7 linked regions of the Oryctolagus cuniculus genome follow. The protein of the gene in region 2 interacts with the protein of the main gene of each other region in a pairwise test. Links are inferred from orthologs where the notes say so. Each region holds a gene or a part of one and is shown on either strand. Other genes may lie near its edges.

Region 1 (3,956 bases), on a different chromosome or scaffold from region 2:
GGGGCAGCGGCTACTGGTCACGGCGTCTGGGAGCCCCAGACCGGGCCCATGGCCGCAGGCAACAGGAAGGATATGCATGCACTCAAACAGGACACTCAGGAAGTTGTGCAGGGACACGATGAAGGTGTCCGCCCACTGTCGGGAGAAGTAGGTAGCAAAGGTGGGGTTGGTGTCCGGCGACGGCAGGAAGGGCAGGACAAACCAATCCTTCCACTCGGCCTGGTTCTGGAGCTCCGTGGCCTGCTTTGCAAAGAACTCCTGGGCCTTGTCGTTTCTGTTTGTCTGCAAGACACAGAGGAGGGGGAAGATGGAGATGCGGGTGAGCTTCCTCACCCCTGCCGAGCAGACGGCCTGTGCGTGTCAGCCTCCCAGGTAAGTGGCCCACGAGGACCTGTCCACTCCACATTGGAAAGCAGCCATCGCCCCTTTTCTCGAGGGCCTTGTCACTGCAAAGCTGGTTTCATGTGCAGCTCAAGAACAAATGCCATCCTGAAAACGAGTCCCTGAGGTTCTACAAAAACCCGACTGCCCGATTCTCCGATCATCTGTACTGCTTATTACAGAAACCTCAGGCCAGCAACTTCATATTCTTTCCAACATCTTAAATAGGAAGGAAAACAGAAATGGGGAAGTCAGATGATCCAGAGGAGAAGGAAAAAACCAGCACGAAATAACGTGACTGTCCCGCTCCTTCACAGGAAGGCACACAGCCCTCCCCAGGGGCGAGACCAAGCCCTATCTGTGGGTCAAGACCAAGCCCTATCTCCGCCAAAGGCGGCAGAGCCCCTGGAGCACCAAGCACCTGGATTGTGTAGACGAGATAGAAGCGGAACAGGCTGGTCTTGAGCTTGTTGATGGTGGGTCTGTACACGTCCTCCAAGCGGCTGAAGAGCCGCCGCTCCAGGTAGCTCCAGTAATCCCGCAGGGCGGCCAGGTCGTACACCTGCATTAGCTGCTGCAGCTGGTCCACTATCTTGTCCACCTGGTGAGAGCGGAGGGGTGGGGAGGGTGAGGACAGGAGGCAAAGCCCCCCTCATTCCACAGGGCACAGCGTTTTCCCCACTGCCATAGCTTCGGGATGTGAGCAGTTTTAAGTTAGGGGCTGGAGCTGGGCGGTGCAGCAGGTTAACATCCAACGTCCCATATCCAGGCACCGTTTCAAGTGCACGCTGTTCCACTTCCAATCCAGCTCTCCACTAATACGCCCAAGAAAGCAACAGCGGATGGCTCAGATACCCGGACCCCTGTCACCCACACCGGGGCCCCGGCTGGAGTTCCAGGCTCCCGATTTTGGCCTGACCCAACCCTGGCCGTTGCAGCCATGTGGTAAGTCAGAGGATGGAAGATCCCTTTCTCTGTCACCCTGCCTATCAAATAAATACATCTTCTCCTAAAGAAAAAATAAAAGTTTTTAACTTGCCATTTAAATCTGACAATTTATACAAATTTTAAGTTAGCAGTCTATGAAGTTTTTAAGACATAACTGTACCACCTTTTAAGTTACGGCTCGAATCTTAGGCAGGCACAGAAATTTCAGGTGTTATGGGCTTTGGCCAGAGAAGCAGGAGATTTGGCTCCAGGTCCTGGATCTGCCTCTGACTTACATGACTAAGTTGGCACTGTCACTTCAACTGCTTCCTGGGTTGCTTCACATTGAAAATAATAAACGTGTAAGAGCACATGAGATGGTCCTCCTTCTAGCTCCACAGTTCCAGGACTCCAAGGGGCAACGGGAGGCACGCTGATGGACCCCCGCCAGTCATCAGCGACCCACCAGCGCCCTCATAGCTGCGCAGACTATCAGCCAAACGAGCCACCTCCTTGTGAGGAGCAGTTATACCCGAGTAGGTGATTTGAAAAGGTTCTGGCTATCAACACTTTAGTCCCCATAGATTACAGACTGGGGCACGGGAGCCCAGAGAGGCGAAATCCTGTTTCAGGAGCCTCTAACTTCGTCCAAACAAGAACCCCGACTTCCCAACTCCCCTCCAGGGAGGCCCCTTGCTGGAGTTCACTGTCTCAATTCACCTGCCAACACCCGCTGAAGTCGACACACAAACCACACACACGTGGATTCCAAGAACTTCCCCACGGAAATCCATACCGGAGCCCCGAAAGTTTGTTTTAGCACGTGCAATGAGGTCTTCCTCCAGTGCTTAGTTGCAATATTGCCAGTGAGCTAACAAGGGCACTTGAGACCGACATCACCGGTGTCTGAACCCAGCTAACGTTCTGGGCTGCACACACCCCTGCTGCGCTCCCACTGCCTCGGGAAAACAACCCTGGGATAGATACGTCGGCCGCCAGAACCTCCCAGCCACCCAACCCTGGTTGCTGAAACCACATGGGTCTCCCCAGCCATCGACTGACCAGCACCTGCTAGGAGGCCGGGGAGCAACACCCAGACCTGCACCAGCGGTCAGGCCACAGCCCCCGACTGCAGGACAACTTCAGGCGAGTCACGCCCGTGTCAGGGCCTCGGTTCCCCGTCCGCCAGGCCAGGGCCGCGCGCGCCGATCTCCGCGGCCCCCACGCCGCCGGTGACAGCGCCGCCCCCGCCCCTGAGGGCAGTGGGGGCTGGGGAGCGGGCTGCTCCCGGGCTCCCTCGGGCCGCCCCCGCAGGCCCCTCACCCGAAACCCCTTCTCTTTGTCCGCCTTGATCTCGGCGTCCAGCTGCCGCAGGGTGTGCGTAAAGCCGCGGAAGAGCAGATACTCGCGGACCAGCTCGTCGGTGCGCTCCACCGCCTCCGCCATCACTGCGCCGGCGCCTAGAGGGGCCGCGGCCGCGAGGGACGAAGGGGCGGGGCCTGGCGGGGGCGGGGCGGAGACGGGGGGCGGGCGCCAACACGTCACTCCGCGGCCAGCCTACCAGCGCACACGCACCGCGCGCCTCGCGCCCTGAAGCCCTGCCCCTCGGTCGGCGCCCCGCCCCGGCCCCGCCCCGCCGTGTCGTCATGCCGCGGCCGCCCGGAGGGGCTGCTGGCGGAGGCTCTGCGGGCGCTAGTTTTCCTGGCGGCGGCATTACAGCTCCGAGTTCCTCAGAACGGCAGCAGCTGTTCAGTCTGGAGAACGTAGCACACGGCCGCGAGGCAGGCGGGGAGTGGGTGCCCGGCTGATCGCAGACCCCTGTGACTCCCACCTCTCCTTTTAAAAATGGAGGGATCGCAGGTGTGCGGTCGGGGGGCTCCCGTTCCCCGCAAAGCCCTGCCCACACGGCAGGGTCGCCACGACGCCTGGCGACGACGGAAAACCCGAGTTACGATGAGGTGGTGCCTGTGCCTCGTTAATTAAAACAAAAAGGCAGACGGCTGTGAGAAACAGCCTCACCCGTCCACTCCAAGGATGGCCCCGGACCAGAAGCGCAGCGCAGCGCAGCGCAGCGGGCAAGCCAGACTTCGCTAAGCGCCCTGCAGACCCGGGGGCTTTGCAGCGAGCTATTTATTCCCCCAGCACGCAGGTCCGGCCTCCAGGTCCCCATTGGCTGAGTGAGTGCGGGGCTCACCCGCTTCAGCTGTTTTGGCCACTAACACCCTGTTTGCCTAAGAACTGTCAGGTGCGTGGACCCGGGCCGTTCTGCAAACTGTGACAAGTCGACTGCTTGTCGACTCACAGCTAAAGGCTTCACTTTGAAAATGAGCCGAATGTTTACTTCTCACAAAGATAAAATGTGTGTGTGCATGTGTGTGTGTGCGTTTGCACATTTTGAAAACCCAGGAAGATTACACGCCGACTGTTTATATTTGCTTTCTCTGTGAGGTGAGACCAGAAGGGACTTTCACTTCCTATTTTTCACTTTTTCTCAATTGTTTGAAGTTTTCACAGGTGTCCATATTTTTGTAATCTGGACGACAACCAATATGTACGAGCTGATGGGAGATCTCTCTGTTTCCTTCTGTCTCTAAATCTGCCTTTCAAATAAATAAATTGTCAAATAAATAAATTAAAAAAAAAAAAAA
Region 2 (3,500 bases):
AGGCAGCGAGGGGCTAACCTTGTCACAGGCCAGCTCTCAGGGCTCTTCTGCATGCTGGACTTCTCTGGACATGAGGGCAGCCTCTTAGCTACAGGGCAGCCGGCCACTGGGCCAGCTGCTCCTGCTCCATCCTGGGCAACCTTGCCTGTGCTTGTTTGCAGGACAAGGCTGTGGCCGAGCCCGTCAGCCGCCTGCTGGAGACCACGCTCAGGAGCGGCCACCTGCCCAGCAGGATCGGAGCCCTGCACGGCGCCCTCTACGTGCTGGAGTGCGACCTCTTGGATGACACGGCGAAGCAGCTCATCCCCGTCATCAGCGACTATCTCCTCTCCAACCTCAAGGGCGTAGCCCAGTAAGTGGGCACCTGACGGGTGGGAGGGAGAAAGAGCTGGCCACAGGGCGGCAGGTAGCAGTGGGAACCCAGGCAGGCGCCCTGCTCCTGGCAACAGTGAGGCCCGGGAGATGTGGGTGCAGATGCTTGCCCGATGGAAGCTCTCGCGAGTGCCCCCGAGGAGGTGGCACTATCTCTGCTTTCCTCCCCCGTGGTGCTCAGCCCGCTCCCACGTGCCGCTGCCCACTCTGTCGGCAAGCACGGCCAAGGCTCAGCCTGCTCTCTGTAGCACCCCTCCCGCACGCCGTGGTGGGGAACGCATTGCTGTGATCCCACCTTGCCGCCTGCTGCCCCGACGGCCCTGAGAAGGCATGGCTGGTTACGGAGCCCTTAGGAAGCAGACGAGCACGTGGCACCCAGCAGAGCCGGCAGCACAGCTTAGCTGTCTTCAAACTCACCGTCATGGGAAGAGTTGAATTTCTGCAGGCAGAGGAGGCCCCTCAGGTGTGGTTCAGGGTGGGCTGCAGCAGGGAGGTGGTACCAGGAACCCATGGCTCCAACCCAGGCAGAGACGGCGTGGCGCTGTAGCAAGGCCCTTCCTACTGGATGGTGAGCCCTGAGCAAGCAGGGTAGGCAGAGAGCTGGCCACCATCCCCGTGTGCCCAGAGATGGGTCTATGGTGGAGTCCTGCTGAGACGTGGGGGTGGGCCTGTCTCTGCCCCATGTGTTGGAGGACACGTTTTTGGTGCAGCCCCTGAGCTGGCATCAGGCCAAGGCAGAGCCACTGGTCATCTGGTGCATGGCCGTTCCTTGGTGCTGTCACTCAGCAGACTTGGAGGGATACAGGGAGTGTCCAGGTAGAGACTGGACAGCGCTGGCCTCAGAGCCAGCATGCGGCCTACATTGTGGCAGCCGTGCGTAAGCAGTGGAGGTGGGTATGCTGTCTGCACGTGTGGCAGAGGTGGTGAGCTAGACTCTTTGTTCACGGTGGCCGTTCGTCCAGTGATAGGCAGGCTAGGTCTTTGTTCATGGTGGTCGTTTGTCCAGTGACAGACAGGCTAGGTCTTTGTACACAGTGGCCGTTTGTCCAGTGACAGACAGGCTAGGTCTTTGTTCACAGTGGCCGTTTGTCCAGTGACAGGCAGGCTAGGTCTTTGTTCACGGTGGCCGTTTGTCCAGTGACAGGCAGGCTAGGCTGTTGCGGAGCAGACAGGTGCCAAGAGGAGACTCCCCAAGTCGGGGTTCAAGGTACCACACAGGAGAGCAGAGGGCACCCTCCAGGCCTCTCTGATGGGCAGAGGTGAAGTGGCCAGTGCTGGGATGAGGCGAGCCAGGCTGAGGGCTTTGCAGCGTGAGGCAGGCAGGCCATGTGGAGTGAGGCCAAGTGCAGAAGCCAGGGCCAGCCGTGCAGGGTGCAGAGTGCTCGAGTGCCGTGTGGCCTTGCCTATGTACCCCCTACCAGGCCAGGTTGAACGGGTCCAGGCCACGGAGGAGCCGGCCCGCGAGGGTGGGGCAGCTGTGTGTGACAGGCCATCTGTGCCCCGTTGCAGCTGCGTGAACATTCACAGCCAGCAGCACGTGCTGGTGATGTGCGCCACTGCCTTCTACCTGATGGAGAACTATCCTCTGGACGTGGGGCCGGAGTTCTCAGCGTCAATCATACAGGCGAGTGGCCCCGGGCCCATCTCTGTCCCTGTCCTCGTGGACAGTGGGGTCAGCTGTGGTTCCCCTGCGGCCGCCCTGCCACTCTGACAGAAGGCTTTCTCTCGTCCAGATGTGTGGAGTGATGCTCTCTGGGAGTGAGGAGGCCACACCCTCCATCATTTACCACTGTGCCCTCCGAGGCCTGGAGCGCCTCCTGCTGTCCGAGCAGCTCTCCCGGCTGGATGCAGAGTCCCTGGTCAAGCTGAGTGTGGACAGAGTGAATGTGCACAGCCCGCATCGGGCTATGGCGGCCTTGGGCCTGATGCTTACCTGCATGTACACAGGTGAGGAGAGGCGGACGCCTGCGCCCGTGCTGCCCTGACCCGGGTGCTGCCCTGACCCGGGTGCGGCCTGACCCGGGTGCTGCCCTGAGGTCAGCCACTGTGCATAGGCAGCAGAGCCACACCTCCGGCCACTGCCTCCCATGCAGCTGAGCCTTGGCCAGGTCCTGGGCCGGCTAAGGGCTTACTTAGGTCACCTCTTTCGGATCATCTCTAGGGGTCTGTTGAACTTCGTATGCAAGGCACCGTCTGTGGAGCCTGTTGGGCTTTATAAATCGTGCAGCTGTGTATTGAATACTTGTGTTTCAGGGAAGGAGAAAATCAGCCCGGGCAGAACCTCGGACGCTAACCCCGCAGCCCCAGACAGCGAGTCAGTGATTGTCGCGATGGAGCGGGTATCCGTTCTCTTCGACAGGTGAGCAGCGAAGCCCGCCGCTGTGGCCGTGAACTGCCTTGGGCTTTGGCCAGAGGAGCATACGCATGCGCATCTGCTTACCTTCCTCCTCATGTCTCTTCACCCTCCGACCAGGGGCTGTCCCGCCAGCAGGCCATCCTGGGACCCCAGCACTGAGTGACTCCACGGTGGCCCTGGGGAGGTCGAGGGCCAGGCCCGTGGGATCGGCCTGTGGCAGGTCGGGGCCTGGAGGCGGGCCCTACTGCAGACGCCTGCTCACCCTTGCTGCCTTTTGTGTGCTCACCGTGCACTGCAGGAGGGACATGCAGCCCCTGAGGGCAGCGTCAGGCAGTGCAGAGGCTGGAGCGAAAGTACCCTCAGGAGTTGCTGCCAGGCCTCCCAGCCTTCCCACTTGTGTGCTCAGAATCCGCACACCTGCCAGTCCTGAGAGCGCCGGGGGCTCGTCAGGCTTTCCCTAGAGCAGCCCGTGTCCTGCCCCGAGTCTCTCCGGGCCCAGTGACGTGGCAGTTTTGTGGCCTGCAGTGAGCAGTTGGTTTGCCGAAGACAGACTGTTCTCAGGCTGGTCTCGGGCATGCGCACAGAAGGGCTCTGCATGAGTCCCTTCTGGGGCCCGAAGAGGTTCTCTGTGTGGCCAAGCACATGCCGGTCTGCTTCTGTGCTGAGCCTGAGGTTCCAGCGAGCCTGCGGTCACTGTGGCCGTCCGTGTGTGTGCAGCCACCCCGTGGAGCACCGTGACCAAGTGAGCGTGATGCAGGCACTCAGAGTGACC
Region 3 (3,500 bases), on a different chromosome or scaffold from region 2:
GCAGGCCCCGAGGAACCTCCCTCTCCTTGCCAACCCCACACTACTGTGGTTCAAAGAGCTGCACCCACCAACTCCCTCCACCCCTAGGTGGAAGACAGAAGGAAACCTCAAGTGCACCAGATAGGAAAAGCCAAAAGGCAGGACAGCTCTCTCCCCCTGGGGAAGATAAGCAAGATGGAGAAGGGACAGGGCAGACCAGCGGGGGAGACTGGTGCGCCCTCAGAGCCACAGGTGCTGCCCACGGGAGAGAGAGGAGGGCCGGAGCACGAGAAATAAAACATTCCCAACAGGACGGGGGACCAGAGAGAGCAGGAGTGGGAAGGAGGAAGAAAGTGTCAGAGATAGGAAACAAAGGCAACGGAAGACAGACAAACGGGGGACAGAAGAGAAGTGAGTGTTAGGCAGGCAGCGAGAACAGGGACAGAGAGGATGAAAGGAAGTGAGAGACTGAGACAAGGACACAGGCGGCCGGGCAGTCAGAGAAAGGGACAGCGGACAGAACAGAAGCACGAGGCCGTGGGAGGAGAGAAAGCCGCAGGCGTCGCCTCCACGATCTTTACCTTGGCTGCTTGGTCAAACAGAGCTCAAGATTTAACTAGCGGTGCCCAGGGCCCATGCTGGCTGGCGGGCACCGGCTGGCTCCTGGCTGGGGCGCCCGGCCCGGATGCCCCCCCTGCGGGACTCCGCGGGGGGGGGCCCTGCCTGACTGGCTGCCTGAGCGATCACATTCAGCTAACGCGCTGCATTGTGCACAGCGGAGCCCTGCCTGTCTGCCTGGCCGGGGCAGCGCGGCTCAGCCCAGGGGCTCATGTATGGGCTGGGTATGGTGGGGGTGGAGGTGGGTTTGCTCCGAGCTCCGACGATGAGCGGGTGTGGTTCCCAGTTCTGGCTCTTTTCAAGGAGGAGGAGCAGAAAGAGGATGAGGAGGAGGAGGAGCAGGAAGGGGGGAAAAGATGGTTGATTAAAATTAAAACATCCACAAAAAAAGGAAAAAAAATAAAATCTTTTTCTCTCAAACGACCCTGAGATCTTTGCTTTTCTCGCTGGATTCACTCGTCGCTTTTGGGAGGACGCCACAGCCACACAGGGTCCTGAGGATCAGGAATGACAACGGCCCGCTACCAGCGAGGGGAAGCAGTCTGTGTGCGGCCCCCAAGGGGCCCGGTGGCTCTGGCCAGCTGCCTGGCGGCGTCCCACTGACCGAGGACAGCGGGGAGGGGAGGGCGGGCGGGGGTGGGCCGCGGCAGTCACCGGAGGAGGAGATCCCACCAGACGCGGTCAGACTCCCCCTCCCCCACCCCCGAGAGTTCGGGACTGGGTGCACGGGGGAGAGGACAGGGCCGGGGGGACATGCCAGGGAGAGGCGGCAGGGAGGCTGGGGCACTGACCACTCCTCGTCTTTGTGGGCCAGGAAGAAGTCCTGCATCTGCTGCCGTCGGAAATCCAGCTTGTAGTCGTTGTAGCGCTTCACGGCCTCCGTCTCGTCCACAGAGTCGTCCAGCGACAGCAGGAACTCCTTGAAGGTCTTCATGACGGGCGGTGGCACACCCAGGTCGATCTCCGCGATGCTGCCCAGCCTGGAGGCCGCCACGAGTCTTGGTTGGGGGGAAGAGGGCGCGGGGCCACGGCAGCCAGCTGCCCCTTTCTCTGCCTACCAGGGACACCACCTCAAGCCCGCCCTGCCCCCAGCCCTCGGGCCCTCTGTGGCCCGACCCTCCCAGGCTCCAGCCACCGACCCCTCCCTGGCTCCCTTCTCCAGGGCACCCAGAACCACTGCTCTTTACCTGGCCTGGATAGGCAGGACGTGGTGCTGCATGATGTGGACGTCCGGGTGGCCCCAGGGCTGAGGGGGGCCGTAAGTTGGGCCCCCACCCCCCCCAGCATAGGGCATCTCATAGCCACTGTGGTATGGGTCAGAGCTGTGCTCATCCCTGAGGACGGGGGACACGGAAGTCAGACAAGGGGCCACCATCCCCCCCGAGCCACAGAGGCAGGCGCACGGGAACAGAAACGGCCGGGGCGAGGGGGACTGCGAAAAGGCAATGGCGCTTTCGGCAGGTGGAAGGCTGCGGAGCCGAGGCCAGGAGAGAGGGGAACGCCATCAGCTCACCAGTCACGTCGCATGCGCTTCTGCGGGGGGCTGAGCTCGTGGCGCGGGGGAGAGAAGCGCTCGCGCCGATTCCGGTCGTAGTCCCGGTACTCGCCCCGACTGCGGCGCTCCCGGCTGCGGTCCCACTCCCTGGGGACGAGAACAAGCGGCCATCATGAAGGAAATGGCGCAGGACGCCAAGACCAGGCTGGACGCCTCAAGTCACACACACCAAAAAAGACTCCCGTCTCCTGCTGCCCACGCGCCAGCTCCCGCCGAGGAGTCCCGGCCCCTTCAACTCACCCAACAGGACCTGACTCCATCCTCATCCCCGCCCATCTCTCCCCCCCTCGCCTGCTGTCCCGGTCACCCAGTCTCTCCCCTCCTTGCCTGCTGTCCCGGTCACCCAGTCTCTCCCCTCCTCGCCCGCTGTCCCGGTCACCCAGTCTCTCCCCTCCTCGCCCGCTGTCCCGGTCACCCAGTCTCTCCCCTCCTCGCCCGCTGTCCCGGTCACCCAGTCTCTCCCCTCCTCGCCCGCTGTCCCGGTCACCCAGTCTCTCCCCACCTCGCCCGCTGTCCCGGTCACCCCGTCTCTCCCCTCCTCGCCCGCTGTCCCGGTCACCCAGTCTCTCCCCACCTCGCCCGCTGTCCCGGTCACCCAGTCTCTCCCCTCCTCGCCCGCTGTCCCGGTCACCCCGTCTCTCCCCACCTCGCCCGCTGTCCCGGTCACCCCGTCTCTCCCCTCCTCGCCCGCTGTCCCGGTCACCCCGTCTCTCCCCTCCTCGCCCGCTGTCCCGGTCACCCGTCTGTCCAACACACCTGATCAAAGCGCTGCCTCCTGTCGTCCCAGCCTCTCCACCCTCACTGCTGCCTCCATCCCCAGCTCAAAAACACTTTCTTCGGACCCAGTGGTTTGCAAACTTTTTGATCTTAAAGACTGCTGACGTCACAGACCTTCTGCCTGTGGCTAGCCATACTTACTGTGTCCAAAAGTAAGTCCAAGTTTTTACAAAAGAAACGATTTCCCTGTACAATTTTATTGAGAAAAGTGGCTCTGGCTTAAGAGGAGTAACTTTGACATCCAATCTGCCGTGATGTTTTGGTTGGAAACCATAGACATCTGGCCTCACAGGGACACTCGGTGGAAACCTGGGTGTTATTTTGGGTTTGTCTGGGAGGGAGTTTCGAGGTGAGATCAGCAAGGGACTCTGGGTGGGCCCGCATCAGCGACTGGCCGGGGTCTGCAGGCTACACACGCCCAGCACACAGGTCTCAGCTCTGGCCATCAGCGCTGGCCTCTGGACTCCAGGCCTCACACCGGCAGCCCCCTCTCTGGCCCTAGGCTTTCCACCGTGAACCGAGAGCTGCACCCTGGCTTCCCCGGTTCAGAGGCCATCAGACCTGGCCCAAG
Region 4 (4,222 bases), on a different chromosome or scaffold from region 2:
GCCAATTAACCACCTATACAAAACAACCGTCCCACTAAAAGACAAATCAAGGAGAAATTTGCACAGCTGTTGATTCATATGTGCCCATATGAATGTGAATCCTGCTCAATCTGTAGACAGAAGAGCGTAATTTGAATATTTACTCACTGTTAAACTGCTCTCTCGACTCTTGCAGATCTAACTTCCTACAGCAGTCACCTCCTTGAAAAGCACATCTACTAGTATGTTCTGAAGGTAAGATATTTTGAGCACTCATCAAAAATCTGTATAACAACACAGATAGAATTACTTTAACTTATGGTTTTAAACTGTGAACTACTTTTCTACTCTTTGAGTTCAAACTAATTGAAGGTTAGGAAGTAACCACTTCCCCCCAGAAGCCAGAACTTTCGCCTCTTCTGAACAGGGGAATATCTCACTTCAATTAGGTAAAAATAAGGGTTTGCTGATTGAATCATTGTCCAAGATCCATGTAAGCTGCCAACTGTTTATCTAAATTTCCTATCTAACACAATGGGCAATCCCTCAAAGTCAGGGCAGTAACTTACTTCATCCACTACCTGGAACTCTAAAAACAGTAGCAAAAACAACCTGCATAAATATTAGTTACTCAATCTAGTTTCAATTTGTTTCAAGGAACAATGATAAGAGAAATGCAAGGACTATGATCAGTAGATCTATAAACCTGCCTATTTCAGAATAACTGAGCTTTAACCAACTCCAACTCAGTCATCACAAATGATATTGTTTAAGTGGTAGGAGTAAAAGGAAGTGCAAAGATCAAAGGAGTGCTCACAAAGGGGAACAAGACCATTTTTATGGGTATACTCCTCATTTTACTGAGTTTGAAAAACAGGAGCATCTACTCAGCCCACGTGAGGGCCAACTGTAGCACAGAAGATAAAACTGCAATTTCAAAACTAGGATAACAGATTTGCAAATCACCACCAACTCCTAATAGGATTATACTGTTTTCTTAAATATGTTCTTCAAGTAGTTTAAAAGTGGTACACTTTCCACAACAAGCAGCAGTTAATTTCCAGCATTAAAACCTACATACAATGAGTCTTCTGTGTTCAAGTTGGCCTACTAGGCTGCCCAAGAAGACATTTTACCTAAACAAGTGAAGGAAGGCATTGAGGAGTTGCAGGTATATCAATATGGATGAACAGTTTTATGAGATTTCCTGTTTCCATTTCATACACATATACACACCCTTCATTTTAGGAATTCAATTCCATGATAAATGTAAAATGCCAAAAGAAACACACCTCTTTTGATTTCCTATCTTCCTGAGCTCATCAGCTCAAAAAGCATTTCACTTTATTTACCTAATTTCTTTAGTACATAAAACAATAGAAGGATTCATCTCTAGAAAGCACAATATTAAAATCAAGAAAACAACATACTTCAGCTAAGGGTTTTATTTTAATTAAGTTTCCTTCTTAAAGTTCCAGCACACACTAATACAGTTAAAACTATTCAAGAATATTCAGTTGAGGAATCCTGCTAGAAAAATAATTATTGATAATTTTGTTTTCAAGTATTAGTATTTACCAAAGATCTTCAGTTTGTAGAAAAACATTCTGATGCTAGAACTATTAAATATTTTAGCAATACCATAACATTTTTCTCAGATTATAAGCTTTATAAGAAAACCTTGGAGTTAAACAATGTTATTTCATAAGCTGCAATGCTGAAAACCTCTAGTTAAAAGATCAGAAATTGTCCTCAGTCTTGATAACTAAATCCTAAATCATTAAGTACCAGTTAAGTTGCAGGATAGGCCAAATTAAACACGTCCATCAGAGTCTATTTTAAAAGCTCATAAGAAAACTTATCTTTAGAATAGTCTTGGTTTATATCATGAGTTTGGTTTTCGAGGTTAGGCACAATGCACGATGCCACTGTCCAGAGCTTTACATAATCCAGTGAAAAGTGCTCTAAGTGTGATTTCTCATCTTTCTCTAACGCCAGGCCCTGGAGGATGAGTACCAGGCCCCCATTTTTTGAAAACTAATGCGCAGGTCCAACAGCAGGTGAACAGATTAGGCCCTGTCGCTGTGTGTGTGAGTGTGCGTATGTATGTACACACGCCGGGCACTTGTGGGAAGCGAGGGCTTCTCTCTTTCAGAAGTCCAATAGGGAGGAATAGGCTCTCCTGTTTAATTCTGGGAAGCTGGGGAGGGCTTTTCCAACCTAGAGAACTGACAAGCACTTCTGCTTTCATTTCATGGAACGCCCTTAGGTGAAATCTGGTTCTGCACTGCACCAACCACCTTCCCCGATCTCCTCCGCGCCGCAGCGTACCCCAAACCTCCAGACACCCCCAGACAGAGACAAGGGGTGTGGATTAAAAAAAAAGTTTCCAAGAGTCGCTTCTGGTACCCGTGCTCGCCGGGCAGCGGGGCTCAGGAGACTGGAGGGTTCCGGCGGCCGCGGCCCTTCGGCCGCACAGCCCCGCGCAGTCCGGATGTGCCTTCCCCCCAGTCGCCAAAGCCCATGTGCCTCTCAACTACTGTCAACCTCCTCCCACGGTCTGGCCCAGCGGTTAGCGCAGGAATGAGGAAGGCCAAGGGGGCGTACCGGGGCTGCGGGCCGGGTGGGCGGCGGGACGCGGCCCCCAGTCCCCAGCGAGGCCCCCACTTGCCCGAGTTTGGCTTACCCTGGTGGCGGGTCCGCGCGCGGCCTCCCGGCGCCTAGGGGCTGCCCTCCGGGGCGGCGCGGGCCTGCGCGCTGGCGAAGGAAGAGGCAGCAGCCGGCTGGAGCCGGCGCCCGAGCGGGCCCGGGTGCGGGTCGGAGCGCGGGAGCAGGCGCGCGGTCGGACCGGGCCGGGCCCGTCAGCGCCGCGCCATGTCCGCAGCGCGGGCGGAGGCAAGCGCGGGGCGCTCGGCAGCCGGGCGGCGCTGCACCGCCTTCCTGGCCCGGCGGCTCCGGCCTGGGCTGCGCCGGTCTGTGGGCACGGGGAGGCAGGCGGCGTTCAGGCCAAGGGCGGCGGTGGCGGTGGCGGCGGCTGGAGGCCCGACCGACGGGAAAGGCAGGGGAAGCTGTCAGCGCGTCGCCGGGCCGCTCCGGTGGCGAAACCTCCTCTTCCTGCCCGGCTCGCTGGTGCACTTCTCTCTCTTGCTCTCTCGCTCACTCTCTCACTTCCTGGCTGGAAATTCCCACTGACGTCGAGAGAGAAGACCGACAGACGGACACAGGCGCGCACGCCGCGGGGGCGGGAGGTGGGGTCGCCGCCGGGGGTGGGGAAAGCCCGCACTTGTGGAGGCGCCCCGCGCCCCCGGTCCGGCCTGGCGGGGCGGCTCGGCTCCCGCCCCTGGCGGCAGCGTAGAGACGCGGAGCGCGCTCAGGCGGCCTTGGACGCTCGGGTGGCCTGCAGGGCTCTTGCTGCTGGCCCGGCGCTCTCGCAGCCTGGAGGGCTGGGGGCGAGCGGGGACGTCCCCAGGAAGCGCCTGCGGGCCCGAATTGTCCGGGCAAGCAGGCGGCGGCTGTGGGAGCGGGCGGTCCGGAGTCCTGAAAGGCAGGCCCGAGCAGCTGGCGGCGATGAGGGGTCGGCATGCATCCAAGCCTGCCAGCTACAAAAATAAATCTCATCTGTATGTTCCATTTAAGTCCGTCTCGGTTACACCCGAATCTCCTCACAGAGTAAACTGGAATTCCGATAGCATAACTGACTTAGGTCCAATGCAGTAGGAACATCTTCTGGGCGTTGGCGAGGTCTTTAATCTCCTGGTTTTGCGCCAGTTATTCACAGCTTCCACCCAGAGCTACGGTCGGGCCTTTTGATGATTACCGTGGATAGAATGAGAGTGAGGGTGGCAGCGATGGTTTTGGTTCACGGGTCATAGGGAAATCTTGATTTGGCAGAAAGGAGTTTTTCTTTTTACCTTTCTTCCTTCCTTCTTTCCTTCTTTACTTTTTTGCTGGGTAGACTGCTACTGGCCCCTGCAGACGGGCCTCCCCTTGACCACCATTCCTGGATTTGAGCTGCTGCCCGCACCTGACACTGCGCTAAGCACGGGCTGGGGAGACACTATGGTAGGTTAGCACCCCAAGAAAGAACTCTGAGGGGGGGCAGCATCCCATATGAGCACCTGTTTGAGCCCCACTGCTCCACTACCAATCCAGCTCTTTGCTAATGCACCTGGGAAAGCAGCAGAAGATGACCCAAGTATTTGGGTCCCTGCCACCCATGTGGGAGACCCCAGTGGTCTTCTGT
Region 5 (3,336 bases), about 190 Mb from region 2:
CAGACCCGCACAGAGCCCCGGGCTCCTGGTGTCAGCCTGGACCACTCCGGACTGCTGCCGCCCTTTGGGGAGTGAAGCAGAGGGATGAGCTCTGTCTCTCCCCCTCTCTGTCGCTCAGTCTTGCAAACAAATACATCTTGAAGAGAACAGCCACTGTCAGGACTTCGCTTCTGTCTAACAGAGTCACCAAGACAAGCTACTTCTAAAGGAAGGACTGCTCAGCTCATGGTTTGGAAGTTCACGATGCGAGGGCAGAGAATTCGGACTGATTTTCACTCTCTTAGCAGCACTGACTCCGGGCAGCAAACATGTAACCCGTGGCCTCCGGGACACCTCCAACATCCCACTAATACCCAACACCCTCTCGTGACACGCCTTAAGCATGTCTGTCACTCACTCAAAGTTTCGGAGCATCAGGGACGTACCCCACGTGTGTCCTCCTGGAGGTACGGGGGTGAGCAGAGGGCCTTCCCCACAGAGGCCGGGGGCTCCCCCCCAGCAGAGCTCTCGGGGCCCCTCTGCGCAGCAGGAGCACACCCCTTCTCTCACCAGGCTGGGAAACACACAGTGCACGCGTGACCACTGACTTGTTAAACGCTGTTCTAGGACGCGTCTTCCCTGGATCATGACCGATTCAGCCATCTCCATCTTCACACAGTTAAGCTGTTGGCACAGCACTTTGTCCAGCAGGTGGCACATAAACGGTTTCAATCAACGAGTGAAATCCACAACTCTCAGAGGTGAATTAACAGGAAGACTCGGTACTATGATGAATCAGACAAGCAGCACGGGCTACGAAGGCCCTGTGTGTAAGCACCAGGCTCTGCCAGGGCCTGAGCACGCCGCCCGCAGCTCACACGCCGCAGGCTTAGCCCCCGAGGTCTATGCTAGTGGCATGTGAGAGCTGGGCCTTTAGAAACGACTGCGTCAAGGCCCTGCCCTGACGGATGGACTCCGAGGTTATGGAGGCGGGGGCTTTGACATAAAGGCAGCTGCCTCAGGTGTGACGACACAAGGAAGCCCCCCCCACACAGATCCTAGGCAGATGCCAGCCTCCAGGACTGGGCACTAAATAAACCTCATTCTTGATAAATTACGACAGCAACAGCAGCCAGGAGTGCTGCCCTACTGCCTCGTGGACGCCCTGGGGCTGGACACACCAACAGGCCTCTGGCGCCGGATCTGTGCAGTTCCCTACCTGTCAGCAACACATCAAACACACACCATCCATCCACTCCACTGACCCCAATTTAAACATTTTTCAGACTGGTAGAAATATGTGAAAAGTGATTTTGTCCAGGGTAAACTATTTCTCGAACTCCAACTGTTTACTAAGTGGCACGAGGGTACGTTTCACAACTTCACGGCTATTTCAGCTGGAGTGCTGAGGTTAGCAGGAGAGGAGCCCGTTCTGATCAGATGCTTGATTTGATCAACACCCCAGGGAAGCTGGCTGGAGAAGCCGGGACGCCTCCTTCAGCCCCTGCCTCCACCTGGAATCTGCGCTCTGGTGGGATCTGAAGCCCCTGTGCCGCTGGTGTCAGGGCCACGCGCCCACGAGAGCAGAGCCCCGCCCACCGTGACCAGGCCAGCCACCCCCATCTCACGTAGGACGCAGCCCTCACTGACCAGCATCAGGCCCGAGTGTGAGACACGAGGGATTCACACTCGGGGGACAGAGGACAAGCACACAGCAAGTAAAGAGCAGAGAGACAGACAGCAGCCTACGAGGGTCAGGGACCGGAGGAAGAGAGCGACACTCTGAGAACTGGTTCTGGCGGCCCTGGGAGGGCTCCCAGACAGTGAGGCGGCCGCACAGCGAGGAGGGCCCTGGCGGCCCGTCTTCTTCAATGGGCCAGGACCAGGGCCTGGGCCTCACGCACGGCCGCCGGCAGTACAGGGAAACAGCACGTTCCTTCCCACCTCCCTCCTGTGGAACCTCTGACCTGTCACGGTGACACCGTGGAGTGAGCAGACTGCTCAACTGTAGGGTCCTTTAAAGCCACGCAACACAACGCAACTCACAGGCAGGCCGCCCTAAACCTCGCCCTCCACCCCTGCTCCTCTGCCTGCAGCACGCAGGCCTCCGCCCATCAGCGTCCCGGACACAACCCCGAGGCGCTGTTCAAATGTAAACTTCAAAGAATGGCAAAGCCCAGCTCAGTTCCCCAACACTAGCCCGGGCTCCAGCGCCTGCGGCCAGTGGCCACTCCCTGGACGGCCGGCCGAGAGGGTGTTTCTACACACAGCTGTCTGCACAATAAAGCCAGCAATCCCCAGATCTTTAAGAGTGGCTGAGATTTCTCCCTTCTAAATTGAACACTTCCTCCTCAAAAGAACGAACTATTTGTCTAGAACATCGCCGAGTTCGACGTCTACAGTCTGGACAGAGCCTGCCCACCAGCCACCCAACAGGCATTTCAGTGAGCGCCACCGTGCATGTCCTAGCACGCAAAGCAGCATGGGTGTTTCCTGCAACACGGAAGTGGGCACCGCGACCCCCCGGAGGGCTATGGGAGGCCCACCATGCAGACGCCCGTGCCCTCGCCCCGCTCTGCAGGAAAACCGGACGGCTGTGCCGAGACCGCGGGCGTTTCGGGACCTCAGGAAAAGAGCTCAGGGCGCCCCCCCGCCCGGGCGTACCTGTGTGAGTGCGCAGATGAGCCTTGAGGTGGGAACTTTTGAAGTAGGTCTTCCGGCAGCCTGGGAAGTTGCACACGTAGTTCCTCCTTCGAGAAAAGTCTACCTGAGGGGCGCAGTTTTGGCTGGAGGTGATGAACACTGGGGCGGGCGCGAGAGGCAGCAGCTTGGTGCTGCCGACAGCCACGACGCTGGACGTGCAGGAGGCGGGCTGGGGCAGGGCGCCCGGGGGCAGGACCAGCATCACGGCTCCCTGAGGCACGGGCGGGCCCACGAACACGGGCGGGGGCGCGGGGGCCGCCTGGGGGAGGATGGGCTTGACAGTCCCCGAAGACAACTGCGGGGCGGGGTTCAGAAAAGCTGAGAACGTGCCACTCGGTCCCGTCACAGGGACCATCTGGCAAAGGACAGGGGGGCTGGGGACAGAGACGGCAACCACAGGCGTGGCTTTCCGTGGCAAGTCATTTTCCGGATTCTTTGGTGAGCACCCTGCCTGCTGGCCTCCGCCGGTGGCCAGGGAGCCACCGGACTTGTGCAAGCGAGGCTCGCAGGACGCCGAGGTAGGGCTGAGCGGAGTGCCGGCGAGGCCGGGGTCTTGCAAAGCCTCCAAATGTCCCAGAGGCTGTGCCCCTCCTTGTCTCCTGTGGGAAAGCTGCTGTTCTCGGGCGTGCGCGGCGCAGTGCGCAGGGGCAGGGC
Region 6 (3,307 bases), on a different chromosome or scaffold from region 2:
TCTTAAGCAGTCAGCAGCTCCAAGGCCGACGCTGGCCACTGCCCCTTCCCCTCCCCCCGCGGAGTCAGCATGACTCAGCACATCCCGGCCTGGTCACCCGCCTAGGCCGAGGGCCCCAGATACTGCTTGGGCCCAGCACCTGGGGGTCGCCTTGGCCAGGAGCTGTAGCGCCCAGGTCCTGACCCTGCACCCCGCGCCTGGGGCCTCGGCTCCCCAGGCCTGCCTCCAGGGGCCACTTAAGTGGGGTCCAGGTCCTGCCTTGGCTCCTCCTCCCCCGAGGTCAGGGCGCTGGTTTGAGCCCCTGACTCCCAGACCCACATGCATCTGGTGCGTTTAAAAAAAATGCACGTTCCGGGGAGACAGGCACCCCGCCCCTGTGTCCCCGACCTCTGTCCCTCGGCCGCCCAAGGCGTCTCCTGGACACGCAGAAGCAGCAGGTGGCAGGCCAGACACGGGGCCTCTGTAGAGAGACTGCTCCGGGGCCACGGGAGACCCCAAGTCTCTGGGTTACCGCCATAACAGCCCCCCCAGGAAACGCAACCCCAGGGAGACCCCAGCACCCGGGGGGTTTCACTCTCCCCATCTCACTTCCCAGGAACGCTGGGCGCCGACGGACTCCAAGGCATCCGAGGAGCCCAGGCTTCTGTGCGCCTTAAGGGGCCGGGCCCCTCTTACAATCGTCCCTTCCCCCCGCGCCCCAATAGACTTCCAGGACCCCTCCCCGCCACTTCGACCCCAGGCTCCACACGCCCCAGCATCAATGACCACCTGGAGCGCCTAAAGGCCTCCCGGGGAGGACTTAAATGTGGATGCCCATGGTGTCCCCACCTCCTCCTAACCCCCAGGCCTCAGGGCAGGAGCCCCCTCCTCCCAGAGATCCGCAGGGCTCGCTTACAGCCACCTCCACAGCCCTCCACAGCCCTCCTGCTCGGGGAGACCCCTCAGCTCACAGCACAAACCCCTGGCAGCCTGCAGGTCCTCTCCGCGCTCTGAGGCACGACCCCCCCCCCCCGGGTTCCAGAAAGTTCCATGCTCTCAGAAACGGCCACAGACCCCTGCTTTCCTGAGGTAGCCCCAGGACCACAGGGTCATCACTCCCCAGGGGCTCCCCGGGCACCCACCAACCTCTCACCTCCCGGAGAGACCCTCAGAAGCCCTCGACTTCCCCGAACCAGCCACAGAACCCCCACCCCCATTCTCCATTTCACAACAGGCTCGCGCAACAGGCGCGTGACTTCCCCACCTCAGGGTGGGGACGGAGACCCCCTTTCTGCGCCTGATTGGTCAGAAGCCGCCCGGAGGCCCTGCCTCCCCCAAACGCCAATTGGCCGAGCCCTCGCCCTCCGAGCCCCGCCCCCGAGGGCCAGCAGAGTATAAAAGCCGCCGCCCAAGCAGCCGCCCGAAGCTACGCGTCGGGAGACCCGCGGACCTGTGTCTTGCTTCAACAGTGTTTGAACGGAACAGGCCCGGGGACTCTCTCACAGGCTTCGACCGCCCTCCGACCTCCTCTCCAGTCAGAAGCTCCGGGACCACCTCTCGGCCACCTCCTGCTCCTGGGACCAGCCCACCGCGGTTCTGTGGTCATCTCACCGCCGCCAACCATGACCTCCCAGATCCGTCAGAATTACTCCCCCGAGGTGGAGGCTGCCGTCAACCACCTGGTCAATCTGCATCTGCGGGCCTCCTACACCTACCTCTCTCTGGTGAGGGTCCGCGGGACGCCCCCGACCCGAGTTGCACACAACTGCGCGTGCGCGGGCCCGCTTTGTCCCGCGGCGGCGCCGGGGGCGGAGCCCGCACGCCTCCCGCCAACGGTTTTCCTTTCGCGTCTTCCCGCAGGGCTTCTATTTCGACCGCGACGATGTGGCTCTGGAGGGCGTGAGCCACTTCTTCCGCGAGTTGGCGGAGGAGAAGCGCGAGGCCGCCGAGCGGCTCCTGAAGATGCAAAACCAGCGCGGAGGCCGCGCCCTCTTCCAGGACGTGCAGGTACCTGGTGTGCGGCCCGCGGACTACATCTCCCGGCGGGCTGCGCGCGCCGAGACCGGAGCCCGAGCGCCGGCTGGGTGTCGCGCGGCCTTCTGGGAGATTGAGTTCAGTCGTGAGCGAGTCGTTAAGGTTGGAAAAGGAGGTGAACCCTGAGGGCCCCGCGGTCCGGGCCGCTGCGTGGTCTCCTGAGGCGACTCTTGTAGGAGGGTGGGGGTAGTAAGTACAAGCCCGCCCACCTCTTTTGAGCGTCCCCGGCCCCCGACGGCTGCTGGGAAAGTGGAGTTTGGGCCCAGTGCTGAGCCCCTCGTCCTTTGTGCAGAAGCCGTCCCAGGATGAGTGGGGCAAGACCCTCAACGCCATGGAAGCCGCCTTGGCCCTGGAGAAGAACCTGAACCAGGCGCTCCTGGACCTTCATGCCTTGGGATCCGCCCACACGGACCCTCACGTAAGTGCCCCCGCCACCGCGCCTTTGATTGGGCTGATTTCCCTTGTGAGCCTTCCTCCTCCGTGCGCCGTCTGATCTCCCCTTCTCTCCGTCAGCTCTGTGACTTCCTGGAGAACCACTTCCTGGACGAGGAGGTGAAGCTCCTGAAGAAGATGGGCGACCACCTGACCAACATCCGCCGCCTGAGCGGCCCCCAGGCCTCGCTGGGCGAGTATCTCTTCGAGAGGCTCACGCTCAAGCACGACTAGGGGCGCCCGGAGCCAGCGGCGCCGCGCGTCTGCCCGCGCTCTCCTGCCAGCCGCCAGGCAGCTTGTTCACAGCCCTGAACCCTCTCCCAAACCTGGGACCAAACGGAAATAAAGTTTCTTGCTGCAGCATGGGGTTGTGGTGTGCATTACGGTGGAGGCGGCGGAACGGACCTTCAGGGCTCCACGGAGTGGGCTGGCAGGGGAGAGGTCCGCCAGGCCGGCTGGCCGTTAACTGCCCTGCCCAGCGGGTCGGGCCAGGTTCAGGGAGGGCTGGCAGCAAGGCCCTGTTCGGCCTCAGCAGCCTGGGCGGTGATGGGGTCAGGCAGCGGGCCAAGCTCTGAAAGGCAGGTAAACAATGAGTGACCCTTCACCACGGGCAGCCCAGAGCGGCCGGCCAAGGCTGCTGCTCCTTGCGCCCGCGCCGGGGTAACTCCGGTGCAGGGCACGTACCGAGAAGACAGGTCAGGAGGAGCAGGGGCGCGTGATGCTGTTGGGGTTCAGCACAGGAACCAGACGTGCGACCCGGGCCCAGAGTCTCCAAAGGGGAACTGAAGCAGCTTACGCGGGTTTCTAGAAGCGTCTGCTGGGTCAGCTCTGACCCCTGTTCCCTTTGCGGGAGCAGAGGAAG
Region 7 (4,121 bases), on a different chromosome or scaffold from region 2:
AATGCTTATTATGAAAAGATGTGTTGGGGCCAGCGCTGTGGCATAGTGGGTAAAGCCACCACCTACAATACCAGTATCCCATAAGGGTGCCGGTTCAAGTTCCGGCTACTCCACTTCCTATCCAGTCTCTGCTATTGCCGGGGAAAGCAGTAAAAGATGGTCCAAGTCTTTGGGCCCCTACACCCGCGTGGGAGACCCAGAAGAAGCTCCTGGCTCCTGGCTCCTGGCTTCAGGTTGGCACAGCTCCAGCCATTGTGGCCATCTGGGGAGTGAACCAGCGGATGAAAGACCTCTCTCTCTCTCTCTCTTTCTCTCTCTAACTCTGCCTTTCAAATGAATAAGTAAACCTTAAAAATACACTAAAAGATGTGCTAGGTTTTAAAAATTTGAATGAAAATGCACAGGCTCAGAAAGGCACTCTTAAAATGCTGTGACACATGGTCTTTCGATGTGTTTTGGGTGTTCATAGGATTTATTTTTTGCTTGATGATACCAAAAAGGAAAACACTCAGAATAACTGGATTCCAGATGCGTGAGGTACTATTTGTGTTCAATCCCTAGGAAGGTGAACATGTTAATAAGTGCAGGTTCTGTCAGATCTCTTTGTATGCACAGTATGTTGCTAAGCCAAATGTTTTTTTATTAATAACAAATAAAACCTTTTTGGTGGGAGTTTGGAAGTGGTTTGAGGGAATCTATGGCACCTCAAATGAGCAAAAGCAAAGATGCTGGTGGCTGATTGTAGCTGTAACAATTAGATCTTTACAGATAGGTAGACTCCTTTAAGGCTGCGTTTCCATTTACTTAAAAAAAAAAATTCAATCCACACAAAAGGAGCCATCACTAAACAGCAGAAACGGCACCAGCGTGGCGTGACTATTAAAGCAATTCCCGCCCTACTGCTGAGATTCGGATTCAGCTACCAGACACCACGAATTCGCGTGGATCTTGGTATAACCTAGTAGCGCTTATTAAAAGAACTGAAAATACTTTCCCAATAGTAAATAGTACCTCAGTTGGTTTGGCGAGCAATTGGGCTTCCAGCTCCCGGAGCAGAACTGTTCCACACAGACCGCGTAGCCCTAGGCAAGGAAAGCCCTTGCCTTCCAGAACAAACTTCCCTTGTTTCAGCTCCTAGAAGTAAGTATTTCCACGCAGCGTTTAAATGACCTTCGCGCTTAACTCGGCGCCTGGTTTGCAGGGAAAACTTAATAAATATCTACTCCCATTCATCTCAGTCACCTAAACCAACCATATACCCGAAGGGAGGAAGAAAACAAGGCGCTTGCCGCGCGCAACCGCAGGACGGAGAAGGCATGTCCTCTCCGACTCGCCGTAGGTGCTAGGTGGCTGCTGCTTCGGTCCCCACCCCACCCCCTTCCACGTCAGCCAAGGACTCGGAGGAGCCGCCGCCGCCGCCGTGGGTTGGAGTCCAAATAGACGGTCCCGCGGTGACCCCAGCCGCTGCCCCTCGGAGCCAGGTAGCGGACCTCGAGCCCCCCAACCGCGGAGGCTTGGTGAGCCGGGGAGAGTCGGAGGAACTGGCTCTCTAGCTGAAAGATGCGAGCAGCAGCTACTAGGCCGCTCGCTTCGGGCCTGGCAAAGGGGAACGGGTCGGGGTGGGGGCTGGGGGCCGCGAAGCTCTGGGCCGGACGCCCCGTCTCAGCTCGCGTTACCGATCGGGGGTCTTCTGCCTCCCAAGACTCCGAGCTCACCCTCTGAGGTGGGGCCTGCTTTGCTGGAGGCGTGGGAGAGGGAAGTGGGTGGGTGAGGTGGGGGTGCAGCGCACCGATTGAGGGACCCCCCAGACGCCGTCAGCATCGACTTGTGCCCCCGATAAACCGCTTTAAAGTTTTGGCAGAGTAGTCACATAACATTTCTTAATTTGAGCAGTTCTGAGTGTATATTCTATTAAAAATCACTGTTTTGTAACGCTGAGGGTGGGCTGGGGGACTGTCACTGTTTTTGACCCTGAATTCTGCTGTACAACATTCTCAAACTCTAGACAGCGAGAGGAATAGGGGAATCAGACGTGCTATACCTTAGTCCGGGGCTGACAAGGGTGGGTTTTTTGGGTTAGAATTTGTTTTTATGTGAACACAATATAGATGGGTCCTTCCCATTTAGTACTTGAAAACTCATAAGCCAAATGCAATGGACTTTAGCAGTAAAGAACACAGTAGTTTACTGGTTTGTGAGATTTTGTTTTTAAACTTGTAATGATGTCCCTGTATTTATTTTTCTAGATTTTCTGGCATCTGTTTATTCTTAAGTCTTCTGTCTGGGGTTGATTATTAACTGGAAACCATGACGGCTGCTGAGAACGTGTGCTATACGTTAATTAACGTGCCAATGGATTCAGAACCACCATCTGAAATTAGCTTAAAAAATGATCTAGGTAAATGCTTATAATATTTTGAGAATGAAATTAATATTTACATTTTTACATTGCATGGTTCTTTATAATTATGAATGCTTTAGTTTTATCTAAATTCTTTTTTTCTGATGAAAACGTATTGTCTTTTGACTTGCAGTATTGGTTTTTGGAAATAAGACAACATTTCAGTTATGCTTACTAAAGCTAAAGAAATGCAGTCACTGAGTTATCAGATACTTCTTAGACTTAATTGTGTAGTTCCATGTATTACACTTAAATGTAGCTGATAATTCTTTAGAGGTAACAGGTTAAGAATGTGTATTAGAATGTCTTAATTCCTTTCTGCGCTTAACTTCCAATTACTTAGCTTATAAAACCAAAAAATTCAACATTGGAATCAATGTGTTTTTCCCTAAAAAGTTAAACTTTTTATTTTTAAAGCATTTTTGCCAAGAAGGAAACAAGAACAATATTCCTTTTTTTTTTTTTTTTTTAGTTATTTGAGAAGCAGACAGATTTCTCTTTCTGGTTCACTCCCTAGCCGAAGCTGGGATCCTAGAACTCAGTCTGAGTCTCCCATGTCTCTCAGGGTGCCCATTTAGCAGGAAGCTGGAACTCTGAGCAGAGCTTATTTATTTGAAAATAAGAGTTACACAGAGAAAGGAGAGGCAGAGAGAGAGAGGACTTCCATCCGATGGTTCACTCCCCAGATGGCCGCAACGGCCAGAGCTGCGCTGATCCAAAGCCAGAAGCCAGGTGCTTCTTCCAGGTCTCCCACACGGGTGCAGGGGCCCAAGGACCTGGGCCATCTTCTACTGCTTTCCCAGGCCACAGCAGAGAGCTGGATGGGAAGAGGAGCAGCCGGGACTTGAACCAGCGCTCATATGGGATGCCGTCGCTTCAGGCCAGGGCTTTAAAGTGCTGCACCACAGCGCCGGCCCCTTAGAAAGGTCTTTCATCTGCTGTTTCACTCTCCAGATGGCCACAAGGGCCTGAGCCAATCCAGAGCCAGGAGCCAGGAGCCTGGAGACCCTCTTCTGGGTCTCCCACTTAAGTATAGGGGCACAAACACTTGGGCCGTCACCTACTGCTTTCCCAAGCCATAGCAGAGAGCTGGATCAGAAAAGGAGCAGCTGAGACTAGAACTGGTGCCATATGGATTTTGGCACTGCAGGAGAAGGCTTTGCCCACTATACCACAGCACCAGCCCCAAGATACTTTTTTTTTTTTTTTAATTTTTTTTTACCTGGAAGGTAAAAATTCAGAGAGAGAAGGAGAGAGAGAGATCTTCCATCCACTGGTTCACTCCCTAAATGTCTGCAGTGGCTGGGGCTGTGCCAGGAGCCAGGAGTTTTCTAGGTCTCTCATGTGGGTGCAGGGGCTCAAGCACTTGGGTCATCTTCCACTGCTTTCCCAGGTGCATTAGCAGGGAGCTGGATTGGAAGTGGAGCAGCCAGACCTCAAACTAATGCCTGTATGGGATGCTGGCACTGCAGGCAGAGGCTCAACTGACTGCGTCACAGCACCAGCCCCCATAAAATACTTTATAGTGCATAATGTTCAGGCTAAGCAAGCAATAAACTTTCATTTTTTCTTAAATGTGTCATCCTTAAATTCTCAACAGTGGCTATAACTAATCTTGAACATTTAAATTTTCTTCCAGTTTCTTTCCTTTTTTTAAGATTTTATATTATTTTATTTTATTTTATTTGAGAGGTAGAGTTACAGACAGTAAGAGGGAGAG

What was found.
Region 1: the proteins of HTT (region 2) and WDR91 interact in binary tests that used the Homo sapiens proteins (3 or more experiments, as listed by UniProt). The link is inferred for Oryctolagus cuniculus from reciprocal best matches to the Homo sapiens genes HTT and WDR91.
Region 3: the proteins of HTT (region 2) and SRRT interact in binary tests that used the Homo sapiens proteins (3 or more experiments, as listed by UniProt). The link is inferred for Oryctolagus cuniculus from reciprocal best matches to the Homo sapiens genes HTT and SRRT.
Region 4: the proteins of HTT (region 2) and NFKB1 interact in binary tests that used the Homo sapiens proteins (3 or more experiments, as listed by UniProt). The link is inferred for Oryctolagus cuniculus from reciprocal best matches to the Homo sapiens genes HTT and NFKB1.
Region 5: the proteins of HTT (region 2) and KLF11 interact in binary tests that used the Homo sapiens proteins (3 or more experiments, as listed by UniProt). The link is inferred for Oryctolagus cuniculus from reciprocal best matches to the Homo sapiens genes HTT and KLF11.
Region 6: the proteins of HTT (region 2) and FTL interact in binary tests that used the Homo sapiens proteins (3 or more experiments, as listed by UniProt). The link is inferred for Oryctolagus cuniculus from reciprocal best matches to the Homo sapiens genes HTT and FTL.
Region 7: the proteins of HTT (region 2) and COPB1 interact in binary tests that used the Homo sapiens proteins (3 or more experiments, as listed by UniProt). The link is inferred for Oryctolagus cuniculus from reciprocal best matches to the Homo sapiens genes HTT and COPB1.

Annotation. Positions count from the first base shown.
Region 1 is NC_091434.1:171,032,377-171,036,332, forward strand, and holds the start of WDR91 (WD repeat-containing protein 91), read right to left. Parts: upstream 2,801-3,956; 5' UTR 2,755-2,800; coding exon 2,632-2,754; intron 983-2,631; coding exon 803-982; intron 283-802; coding exon 75-282; intron 1-74.
Region 2 is NC_091433.1:1,890,090-1,893,589, forward strand, and holds part of HTT (huntingtin), read left to right. Parts: intron 1-161; coding exon 162-352; intron 353-1,881; coding exon 1,882-1,996; intron 1,997-2,105; coding exon 2,106-2,319; intron 2,320-2,625; coding exon 2,626-2,731; intron 2,732-3,500.
Region 3 is NC_091450.1:43,017,493-43,020,992, reverse strand, and holds part of SRRT (serrate RNA effector molecule homolog), read right to left. Parts: intron 2,240-3,500; coding exon 2,111-2,239; intron 1,932-2,110; coding exon 1,785-1,931; intron 1,596-1,784; coding exon 1,389-1,595; intron 1,018-1,388; exon of another isoform or gene 1-1,017. UniProt on the Homo sapiens protein: Acts as a mediator between the cap-binding complex (CBC) and the primary microRNAs (miRNAs) processing machinery during cell proliferation.
Region 4 is NC_091439.1:62,714,509-62,718,730, forward strand, and holds the start of NFKB1 (nuclear factor NF-kappa-B p105 subunit), read right to left. Parts: upstream 2,801-4,222; 5' UTR 2,666-2,800; intron 1-2,665.
Region 5 is NC_091433.1:192,211,523-192,214,858, forward strand, and holds part of KLF11 (Krueppel-like factor 11), read right to left. Parts: coding exon 2,644-3,336; intron 1-2,643. UniProt on the Homo sapiens protein: Transcription factor. Activates the epsilon- and gamma-globin gene promoters and, to a much lower degree, the beta-globin gene and represses promoters containing SP1-like binding inhibiting cell growth.
Region 6 is NC_091449.1:8,287,905-8,291,211, reverse strand, and holds FTL (ferritin light chain), read left to right. Parts: upstream 1-1,500; 5' UTR 1,501-1,601; coding exon 1,602-1,703; intron 1,704-1,839; coding exon 1,840-1,986; intron 1,987-2,305; coding exon 2,306-2,431; intron 2,432-2,526; coding exon 2,527-2,679; 3' UTR 2,680-2,807; downstream 2,808-3,307.
Region 7 is NC_091432.1:51,724,194-51,728,314, forward strand, and holds the start of COPB1 (coatomer subunit beta), read left to right. Parts: upstream 1-1,321; 5' UTR 1,322-1,481; exon of another isoform or gene 1,482-1,517; intron 1,518-2,246; 5' UTR 2,247-2,307; coding exon 2,308-2,398; intron 2,399-4,121. UniProt on the Homo sapiens protein: The coatomer is a cytosolic protein complex that binds to dilysine motifs and reversibly associates with Golgi non-clathrin-coated vesicles, which further mediate biosynthetic protein transport from the ER, via the Golgi up to the trans Golgi network.